Linked DNA regions of Xenopus tropicalis. Each later gene encodes a partner of the first gene's protein in a complex. Links are inferred from orthologs where the notes say so. Each region holds a gene or a part of one and is shown on either strand. Other genes may lie near its edges. The genes, in order: nog, bmp2 and bmp7.1.

The links.
Region 2: the proteins of nog (region 1) and bmp2 are in contact, whole or in part, in a crystal structure (PDB 7AG0), measured with the Homo sapiens proteins. The link is inferred for Xenopus tropicalis from reciprocal best matches to the Homo sapiens genes NOG and BMP2. Residues at the interface, in NP_005441.1 of Homo sapiens: Ile33, Arg34, Pro35, Ala36, Pro37, Ser38, Asp39, Asn40, Pro42, Leu43, Val44, Asp45, Leu46, Ile47, His49, His199, Arg204, Arg206, Pro219, Ile220, Gln221, Tyr222, Pro223; in NP_001191.1 of Homo sapiens: Trp310, Asp312, Trp313, Val315, Ala316, Pro317, Pro318, Gly319, Tyr320, Ala368, Ile369, Ser370, Met371, Leu372, Tyr373, Lys379, Val380, Val381, Leu382, Lys383, Asn384, Tyr385, Gln386, Met388.
Region 3: the proteins of nog (region 1) and bmp7.1 are in contact, whole or in part, in a crystal structure (PDB 1M4U), measured with the Homo sapiens proteins. The link is inferred for Xenopus tropicalis from reciprocal best matches to the Homo sapiens genes NOG and BMP7. Residues at the interface, in NP_005441.1 of Homo sapiens: His29, Tyr30, Leu31, His32, Ile33, Arg34, Pro35, Ala36; in NP_001710.1 of Homo sapiens: Phe365, Pro366, Leu367, Asn368, Ser369, Asn375, Ile378, Val379.

Annotation. Positions count from the first base shown.
Region 1 is NC_030686.2:25,897,586-25,899,927, forward strand, and holds nog (noggin), read left to right. Parts: upstream 1-1,070; coding exon 1,071-1,739; downstream 1,740-2,342. UniProt on the Homo sapiens protein: Inhibitor of bone morphogenetic proteins (BMP) signaling which is required for growth and patterning of the neural tube and somite. Essential for cartilage morphogenesis and joint formation.
Region 2 is NC_030681.2:25,391,485-25,395,240, forward strand, and holds the start of bmp2 (bone morphogenetic protein 2 precursor), read left to right. Parts: upstream 1-1,409; 5' UTR 1,410-1,806; intron 1,807-1,814; exon of another isoform or gene 1,815-2,126; intron 2,127-3,756. UniProt on the Homo sapiens protein: Growth factor of the TGF-beta superfamily that plays essential roles in many developmental processes, including cardiogenesis, neurogenesis, and osteogenesis. Induces cartilage and bone formation.
Region 3 is NC_030686.2:5,568,836-5,572,591, forward strand, and holds the start of bmp7.1 (bone morphogenetic protein 7), read left to right. Parts: upstream 1-1,333; 5' UTR 1,334-1,519; coding exon 1,520-1,916; intron 1,917-3,136; exon of another isoform or gene 3,137-3,157; intron 3,158-3,756. UniProt on the Homo sapiens protein: Growth factor of the TGF-beta superfamily that plays important role in various biological processes, including embryogenesis, hematopoiesis, neurogenesis and skeletal morphogenesis.

The DNA.
Region 1 (2,342 bases):
CCTTCCCTCAGCGGGGGTAACTGTACTACATGCAACCGCAGAGCCCACATGTAGCCGGCGGAGTTTATAGTCCACGTTACACTTTCCAAGCGACCAGACCGCAGAAGAATAGTCTGATCCGCGAAGCTTACATTTTAAACTCGCATGTGACGTTTGAGGGTAGAGCGCTGGCTCTGTTCTAAATATAGGGAAACTATCAATAATATACAAAACATCTTCTGATGCTTCAAGACAAATATGACTACAGATAGAGGATTTCGCGTTATGATTAAATCAGTGAGAGAGCGGAGCCGCTAGCGCAGACAGGGAATTCCTGCAGTGCTGCAATGTGCCATAGAGTACCAGCAGAGGGCGCCAGAGTCAAGCGGCAGTCGCTCCGGTCTGTCCCACTGAAAGACGCGCCCACCGCAGGTCCCACCACTCAAGAGAAGAGGGAGGTGTCATCCAAGCAACCAACCCTGGCCATGGGCCACCACACTACTTAAACATGAATGACATCACAGCCGTATGGAGCCTGGCTAATAAATCCTAAGTAGCCAGAGGGACGAGGTACAGACTGAGTGTGGTGCAGAGTTTATCCAGGGCAGAGCAGCAGAGCCCCCCAGCAGCACATTGCAACCTCTCTATGGGCTCCTGCGAGTAAAGAGACCTGCGGGGATTTGCATGGACAGATGTAAGGGATCGTGCAACTTGGCTGCATCCCTATAGCGAGGAGCCGTGGGAGTCGCTGCGCACAGCTGGCTGATTGCGACCGTCGCAGCTTTCTTACACCTCCCTTGTCCCACTGTTTCTTCTTGGAGAAGATCGAGTCTCTGGTTACCATGGTGATCGAGCTGAAAGTGAAGAATATTTAAGAGAGGGGAGGCTGGAGGCAGCAGGCAGACACAGTGGTGCCACCAAGGGCTGTGCGTAAGGGGCAGGGGAGACAGACGGGGCTCTGAACTTCCACTTGTCTGCAATGAGAGGGGGGTGCCCCTGAACCCCCCCAATTCCTCCTCTGATGCATTATTTATGATCTCTGGCAAGAAATCGGGAGCACCCTACTCTTATATTGTGCAGCTGTGTGCAGCATGGATCATTCCCAGTGCCTTGTGACTATATATGCTCTCATGGTCTTCCTGGGACTTAGAATAGACCAGGGGGGCTGCCAACATTATCTGCACATCAGACCAGCTCCTAGTGAAAACCTACCACTGGTGGACCTTATTGAGCATCCGGATCCTATCTATGATCCCAAGGAGAAGGATCTTAATGAGACCTTGCTGAGGACTTTAATGGTTGGCCACTTTGACCCCAACTTTATGGCCATCAACCTGCCGGAGGAGAGACTTGGAGTGGAGGACCTTGGGGAGTTGGATCTCCTTCTTAGGCAGAAGCCCTCAGGGGCAATGCCAGCAGAAATCAAAGGACTGGAATTTTATGAGGGGCTTCAGGGCAAAAAGCACAGACTGAGCAAGAAACTCAGGAGAAAGTTGCAGATGTGGCTCTGGTCCCAGACCTTCTGTCCTGTCCTTTACACATGGAATGACCTAGGGACCAGGTTTTGGCCTCGCTATGTGAAAGTAGGTAGCTGCTACAGTAAGAGGTCTTGTTCTGTGCCAGAGGGCATGGTTTGCAAAGCTGCCAAGTCTATGCATTTGACCATCTTAAGGTGGAGATGTCAACGCAGGGTTCAGCAGAAGTGTGCATGGATAACCATTCAGTACCCTGTCATATCTGAGTGCAAATGTTCATGTTGAGACTCTTGGACTAATGCAAAAGACAGTAGCTTCATGGTTCAAGCTTCATGTTATATGCACTGTAATATGTAGAAATGTATATGTGTGTATATATGGCATTGGTCTAAATTACTATTAAAAGGTCAGTATTATTCTTTTAAATAACCAGTGTCTACTGTATTTCCAACACTATTATCCTGGTTGTGTTTTATTTTAATATTATTATTTTTTTTGCCTAATGTATCTCTATTTATATCCAAAAAAGAGCACTTCGCTCCGCGAAGCATTTTTTTTTTTTTTTTCAAGAAAAACAAATTTAATAGTTTAATAATATAGAAGCATTTTTTCCCTTTATGGAAAACTTGCCTTTTTGATGAACCTCAAAAACAAACAAAAAATGAATAAAAACCAGAGTAAGATATAATTTTCAGTTTATTGTACATAGAGAGAACACATTTTGAAATATGAAAATTTACTCTTGTAAATGAGAACTATCTGCTATTTATTCTTTTATTTTTTTTTTCTCCCCCCTGTAGAGTGCAGAATAAAAGTAAACCACTAAAATATTAAACTGGTGCTTATCTGTTATGTTCCAAAGTGCTTTTTGGGGTGGGGTGGGGAGGT
Region 2 (3,756 bases), on another chromosome or scaffold:
AATTATTTCTTAGGGTGATAGGTCCCCTTTAAAGGCAATAGGGGTCATTTTCATTACCCTGGGGCATAAGTGCTAGAGCATTAAGGTGCAAAAGAGCACACCCATTAGTACTCACTTAACAAGCACTTTGAGCAGAGTAGAGCACGGACAAGCGCTGGCCTTATTGCTTGTTCTAACAGGTCTTACTGGCCTGCAGTACAGGGACTCCAGCAGTGGCGTAACAGAGGTGGGGCATGGGCTGATCAGGGTGGGGTATGTGCAGATCAGGGCAGGGTATGGGTGGATCATGTGCGTATTTAGATTCGGTGCTGCCCTAGGCTCCAGACCTAAATACACCGCTACTGTTTGTGTGACGTCACATGACATCACCCACAGCATGCACGTGACGTCACTTCCACCAAAGCCTGTGACTCCTAACCCCCTCACCCTCCTGCTCTGTTGCCGGATTTACTAGGGAAATCTGTGGTGAAGGCTGGGGGAATTTTTTTTATACATTAAATAGGCACTGGCCCTCGGGTGCCTTAATATAAATAGGCCCCTGGGTGGATCAGAGACAGGAGGGGAGGTGCTGCTTATGAAGGGCAGTTCTGAGCACCTGAGTCTCTCAAGGTAAAAACTTTAAGAAAGAAGGGGGATTACAAATTTATGGGCAATTACATTGCCAGTAAATTTGTAATACCGGCACCAGCCCTAGGTGGGGAGCTGCACAAGCATGAAAAAAGTTCTTTGGGGTGTCAAATAACAGCTGTGATTGGCTATTTGGTAACCCCATGTGACTGCTGGATTGCAGGAGGCTCTGCTTGGGGTAAAACTGTGTCTCTGGGCTTCCAAAACTTGTCTCCAAGCCAGAAATGTAAAAATGGCACCTGCTTTTAGGCCACTGGGAGCAACATCAAAGGGGGCAGTGAGCAACATGTTGCCCCTGAGCCACTGGTTGGGGACCCCCGTATAAATGATACACACAGTAAGAAGTGGGAGGGGGCTGGGGGCTCCCTCAACAAGGGCCAGGTGGAGTGTAGAACCTGCTGCAGTGCAGATAAGGCCAAATGTGGTGTTCAAAGTGCAAAAAATGGCTGTTTGCACTTTGTTCTGCCTGATCACTGCCCCCCAGTGACTAGAGGGGTACTAAAGCCATAATGAATAACCATAATGAATGCGTTGTAGCAAGTGCCATAGCAGGAACAGGGCTGCTGCAATGGGAGTGGGATCCAGCAGGGGGCGCATACAATCTATATATAACAGTGGGGATGTGAGGAGGGCTGGATTGGTCAGGTTTGGCGAGCACCTCCGTGCCTGTGTGCGGCTGGCTCCTGATTGGCAGAGAGCCTGATGACATCAGGATAGAAACAAAAAGCAAAGGGACGCACGAAAAGTGGAGAGAGGAAGAAGCTGACCGGCCGGGGATGAGCTGCAGCCCAACTGCCTCTTACAGCCGGGATACAGGGAAAGGTCGCTCCTCTGCGCATCCCACTCCAGCGCTGCCTCCTTGTCCCATTCAGCGCTAATGCCTGCGGCTGCGCTGCGCTGCTATTTGCACAGGAGATCGCAGTGACATCCCGGTGCGACTCAGACCGACTCCAGTCGGGGGAGGATAACTTGGTGCTACATTGGGGCGTTCTTGGTTAAGGGACACACGATCAGTCGCACCGAGTATGTGCAAAAAGAGAAGGACTGGGCTGCGACTAGACGCGCAGATTTGCCTAATAGCCCTGGGAAGGAGAAGTTTGGAGTAAAAAGAGTCAAGTGATGTGGAAAAAACACACGGAGAGCAGAAAACCATCATCGAGACACAAACTCGGCGCACAGGTACTTACCCATCGCGACACAATCGCTCCCCCAGCTGCTGGCGCCGGTGTGGTTTGATAGGCAGTTGCCTTTATGGTGGATGATGTGTGCAGTAAATGGGCAGTAGAACGAATTCTGAATTAGGCTTTTAGTGAAGCCTTCTGATTAACTACAACTTCCAGCGTCTGTCCTGGGATACTAGGGGCTGTAATAGAGCAGCTGGAGACCCCAAAGTTGCAGTCAGTAATCCGGGCAGCTACTGTGTCGCAAGTTCCAGGCGTGTGGCCGTTCCCACTCCCCTATCGTTCCTTTCACCTGATTGCTTTTATTACGTGCGGATTTGCCGTTGGCCAGTGACGAGGGTGCATCTGCGCCGCGATCCCACACCTGCACCCTGCCGCACAGACGCAACCACTGCTTCTGCAACTCATGGGCGACTTTTGTCCCACTGCATCACTGCTATACAGTGTGTTGGCTGGCACAGGCTGCTCGCATTTAAAGCCCACTCTCTATAACAATCTGCCCGGCTGATAGGAAGCCCCTCATTTATTTTCCCGACGGGTTAACCATTTCCAGGTCAGCGTGGGGGGCAAATCGCACTGTAGGCAGTAGTGATCCCTACTAGCTTGTAGTATAGGGGATGGGGCAAGATGACTGCCATGCTGTTTTTGCATGTGTTTGGTTGATTAGAATTTAATAATGATACATGTAGCTTTGCTTTCTGCCATAGTGCACCTTTATATATAACTAGGGATGTCCTGGTGGTGCCCAGGGCTAAGCAGACTTTGTAGCTGCAACAGCCATTGTAATGTGTTGATTGTTGTACTTAAACAACTGAAGGACTGCAGGTTGGGCAATTCTTATAAAGTGTTACTGTCTTCTCATTGCCCCACTGTTCTGGTCTGCCACTATCTGCTAGTTCTTAGGGTTCCATTAGCCTTCCATTCTGCAACATTTACTTCTTAGATTTATGGACATGTCTACTGTTAGTCTGTGCTTCAGCCATGGACTATAAGGGTGAAGACACACAGAGCTACTTAGTAGCAGCTACTTGTTACGGCTACTAAGCACTAGAAAATACCATGCCATAGACAATACTGAGAATTGCTAAACATATGTAGAGACAATTATCAGTAAATGATCAGCATTGTCTATTTTAGTAGCCACGACAAGTAGCTGCTACTAGTAGCTTTGTGTGTCACCCTTCTAGTCCATGGCTGAAGTTCAGACTAACCGTATACATGTCCCTAAATCTAAGAAGTGAATGTTGCAGAATGGAAGGCATGTTCTAGATATGGCAACTCTGCTGCTAAATGAGCAGTTGGCAAGTCTCTCTGTGTTGTTGGTTGTTTGTGAGACTATGAAATACGTGTAGGACGAGCAGTCTTGGCTTTCCGCTGGGGGGGCACGTGCTCTGTGTGATGTGAGAGAGATCGGCACTGAACTGTAATGTGGAGTTTCCCAAACATGTCAGCCCGTGACCGCTGGAACAGACGCAGCCCTTGTCTGTCTTGATCCACAGTGCAATGCAAAACTTACATGCTTAAAGAAAAATTGCAAATTGTTGCACGTGCGCTCACTACTGCAGCTGCTTTACATTATTGTTGAACTAATGTTGTTGTGTCACCTAGAAATCTATATATTGTAATCCCCTGGGAATCTCCACACGCAGCTTGGGTTAGGCAGGGTGCCCTGTATAAATTCCATTGGGTAACTGCTAAGAAGTTTTGGTGTTGTCTGGTGTGTGCTGAAGCCCTTTCACTCTATAGATGTTGTTATCTGCTATACAAGCCAGATAGATCTCTTTCAACTAGCACAAATCGCCCGCACCCCTTCCCAATCCACAAATGGGATTTTATACCTCTGTAGGAAACATATGAACATCCAGGTACAGCAGCTACTATGTCCCTGTGTGGCTTATGCCATAGACCAGTACTGGCTTCTTGTCTATAATGCAGGAGGTTCAAGAAA
Region 3 (3,756 bases), about 20 Mb from region 1:
GTGAGGCTAGTAACGCACGAGGAAGACTTGTCACCCAGTGGCAACTGAGCTGTTATCTTACTCGGCACAGAAGAGCCTGCAGGGTCACTCCTGACTTCCTGGACATTCTGATTGGCTGTTTGCAAAGAGACTTGTAAACAGTGAAGCATCATTTTGATCTTTCCTTGCAACCACTATTCAAGAATTACTAATATGGTATTAAATATTATTGTGGAAGGATAGGTTATCCCCCAAGTCATCATGGAGGGGCACATTTTGAGGTGATAATTTTGGGCTGTGGGCTGCTCGGTCCTGTTCTGTCGAGCGGTTGCACAATTCTGGGTGTCATTGTAGTTTAGCTGCCTCCGCTCCCTATAAATTTTATAGCAGTATAAATGCTCGTAAATGTGTGACATTATTACCTTAATACATGCATTAAAAGCACGTACGGAACTGGCCTCAAATCTTGGGATGAATAAAGTAAGCTCAAACTGAGTCTATTATATTTATTATAAGATAAAGAAACTTAACCTATGCCATCAAGGCCTTCTCTGTTTCAGTTGCACTAAAGGTGGCCATACACGTTAAGATCCGCTCGCTTGGTGAGGTCTAAGGGACCGATATCGGCAGCTACAGTCGGCCCGTGTATGGCCACCGTAACATCCAAATCATAGATGTGCTAAAGGCAAAATACTGTATACCAAGGACCCACTTATTTATAGATTGTAAGCTCTTTTGGGCAGGGCTCTCATCACCTTCTGTTTTTCTTATTGGTTACTGTGTATGTCCAATGTATGTAACCCACTTATTGTACAGCGCTGCGGGATATGTTGCCGCTTTATATGTTAATAATAATTCCTCATATTTAGATTGCAAGCTGTCAATGCAAGCATTCCATAATAGAGACAGCTTTGACTGCTAAACTTTCAGCAAATCACTGTGTGCATTATTAGCATCGATTCTGTTTATAGAATGTCCCAAACAGCCTTCCCTGTCGGAGAAAAGGAGGCTAGCCACATATGCCTGTGCCCTCCAGTTGAAATGATAATGAGACACAGACAGTCCTTAATCTGTTTACTTTCAATTACCAAATAGACAGTGGCCCACCCTTGTCTGTAGTCTTGCAAACATCCTGAAGCAACCTGATGGGATTCACAGTGCAGTTATTTCTTTCTCTCTGTTTATGCCCTCCTTCTTACTGCCTGCTCCTCCCACCACATTCAGTCTCCTGCTGGCTCCGTCTGCCTTCACAAGCCACTTAGACTTTGCTAGAGAGACAGAGAGGACAGATCAGACCCTACAGGGCAGAAAAAACAAGGATTAATCTGTATATCTGTCTTCCTTTGTCCTGTCGCCTGTTACAAAGTCTCACAATGACTGGGTTCAGCTGATGCAGAGGAAGCCTCCAGCTGTTCCAAGTTAGTGAGAACTTCAGCTGAGAGTTGGATGCACTGGTTTGATTTAATGCTCATTTATTGATGGTCTCCCCTTTGGAGAGAAGGGCAGGTGCTGTAGGTTTTGCCGTACAGATCCAAGGGAAATGAATGTTCTGCAAAAGAACAAAACGGGTTCTGTGCTCCTTTGGACATACTTCTTGTGGAGGATCATCCTGGCCGACTTCACCTTGGACAATGAGGTGCACTCTAGTTTTATCCAAAGGAGGTTGCGAGGCCAAGAGCGCAGGGAGATGCAGAGAGAGATTTTATCCATCCTGGGGCTGCCGCACAGACCCAGACCCCATTTGTATGGAAAGCAAAATTCTGCCCCTATGTTTATGCTGGATTTGTACAATGCTATGACAGTGGACGAAGAGGAAGCTGAAGGCTTCTCTTATCCATACAAGCCCATCTTTACCACCCAGGGGCCACCGCTGGCCAGCCAACAGGACAGCAACTTCCTCAATGACGCCGACATGGTTATGAGTTTTGTTAATCTAGGTGAGTACTGTTATCCCTTATCTCTTGCCTGGAGATGTCTTAACAGTTTGTTCTAGGTTCCAATAAACTTTCATATATGGCAGAAGTTTTATTGATTATACTATGATTTCAGTAACATTTTCCCATGCTTTACTGCAGAAACAGTCTCTGCAAACACAGGTTTTTAGCATTGCACGGAATTAGATTGTAAGCTTTTTACTTTTCCTTTACCCATTGGTGTCTGCTGGCTTTGAAGCTTTGCTTATTAGGAATGCAGTAGTCATATTTGGCAAAAGCACTTTGCTTGTAGTTTGTTTGGCGTGCCTTCCAGGGCATATTCTCAGGTGGAATGGTCTAGCTGCCTGCTACATCCGAGCAATTTCTTGGGATTGTACATGATCCGACAGGTCTGCGCACTTCTTTTGAAGTAGCAATTACTGTACAGAATAAGAAGAGAGCAGGAAATTCTGAGCCCAGCAGAGTTCAAAGCAGAACGCTCAGTGATTCACACTACGAAAATGAGCACAAATGGACTAGAGCCCTATTAGAGCGCTTAATAACATCCTTCAAACTGCATTGCTGCACCACCCTTTTACTGCTTGTGTCTTTGCAGCAAGGGATTCTCTAATGTGCCTTTTCAAGAAAGATGCATAAAGTAACTTGATTGCTGAAAGCTTAGTGCGTACACGGAACAGTCTCCCAGCATGGGGTTGTGCAAAGTGTTTCATTAAAGGGACAGACACACAAATATCTGTCCGTGTGATAAAATTCCAAATTATATATGTAGACACGTTTTAGACAGGTAAAAATACCCCGTAATATAGCACAGCCTACTAACTAGTATGAACTTCTAATCCCAGCGTTCCCAGTCGGCTATGTGCCGTCGGGGCAGTCAATCTTCATTGCACAGAAAGTTGCATCTGAATCTGCTTCCCTGTTTTCTGTAGATCAGTGGAAACCTTATGTCTTTAAATGATTGTGGGGTTTTGCCGCAGCGATAAAAAAACAGCTTGTGTTGTATAAACAGTGTTGTAATATTTGTTGTTTACATTGTTTTCTCTGTTATTGTTGTAATATCAACCCCCCCCCCTCGTAGGACGAACAACACTAGCAAACAGTCTAGAAGCAAGGGAACAAATATGAGGGCTTGATAAGACTACTAAGGCCAAATTTTCTGCTTAGGGAGAAGATGACTATCTTATGAAGGAGAAATAACCCGTAAAAATAAAATTTGTACAGACCTCTACCTCCCAAAAAAGTTAGTTGAACATCGCTGACAGGAGAGACATTGCGTTGAAACAGTAACTGAAAACCTTTCTGTAGTTCCATTGTTGATTCTTTGGGAACTTGGATTATTAGACTGTCAACACTAAGTAAGAGGGACGCAATCAGCCGGAGAAACAACCCTTTATTTCAAGCAGGTGTTCTCTTATCATAAATTACATTGTAAAATGCAGCATCTGTGATGGTTCCGCTAGCAGCCTATAATTTTAAGTTTAAGATTAGGGTGGCACAGAGTTAAGATGGCTGTACACACATACATGTGCTCAGTTGGTGGGATTGCCAAACAAGTAGATCTTTCACCCATTTTGCCACCCATGTACAGGGCAAAAGTAAGCTGATCTGGTCAGGGCCAACAATTGGATCCTAATGTAGGTCAATGCAGATCTTTTGAGGGAGAACCTCATCTATGAGCCAGTGATTCTGGTTTAGTGGGATTTACAAACCTGCTGGATAGATATCTGGCAGATTTTTAATAGGGATGCACTGAACCCAGTTTTTTGGGTTTGGCTGAATCCACCCCGATGGATTTGGCAAAATACCGAACCGAATCCTAATAATTAGGATCCATAAGGGGCAA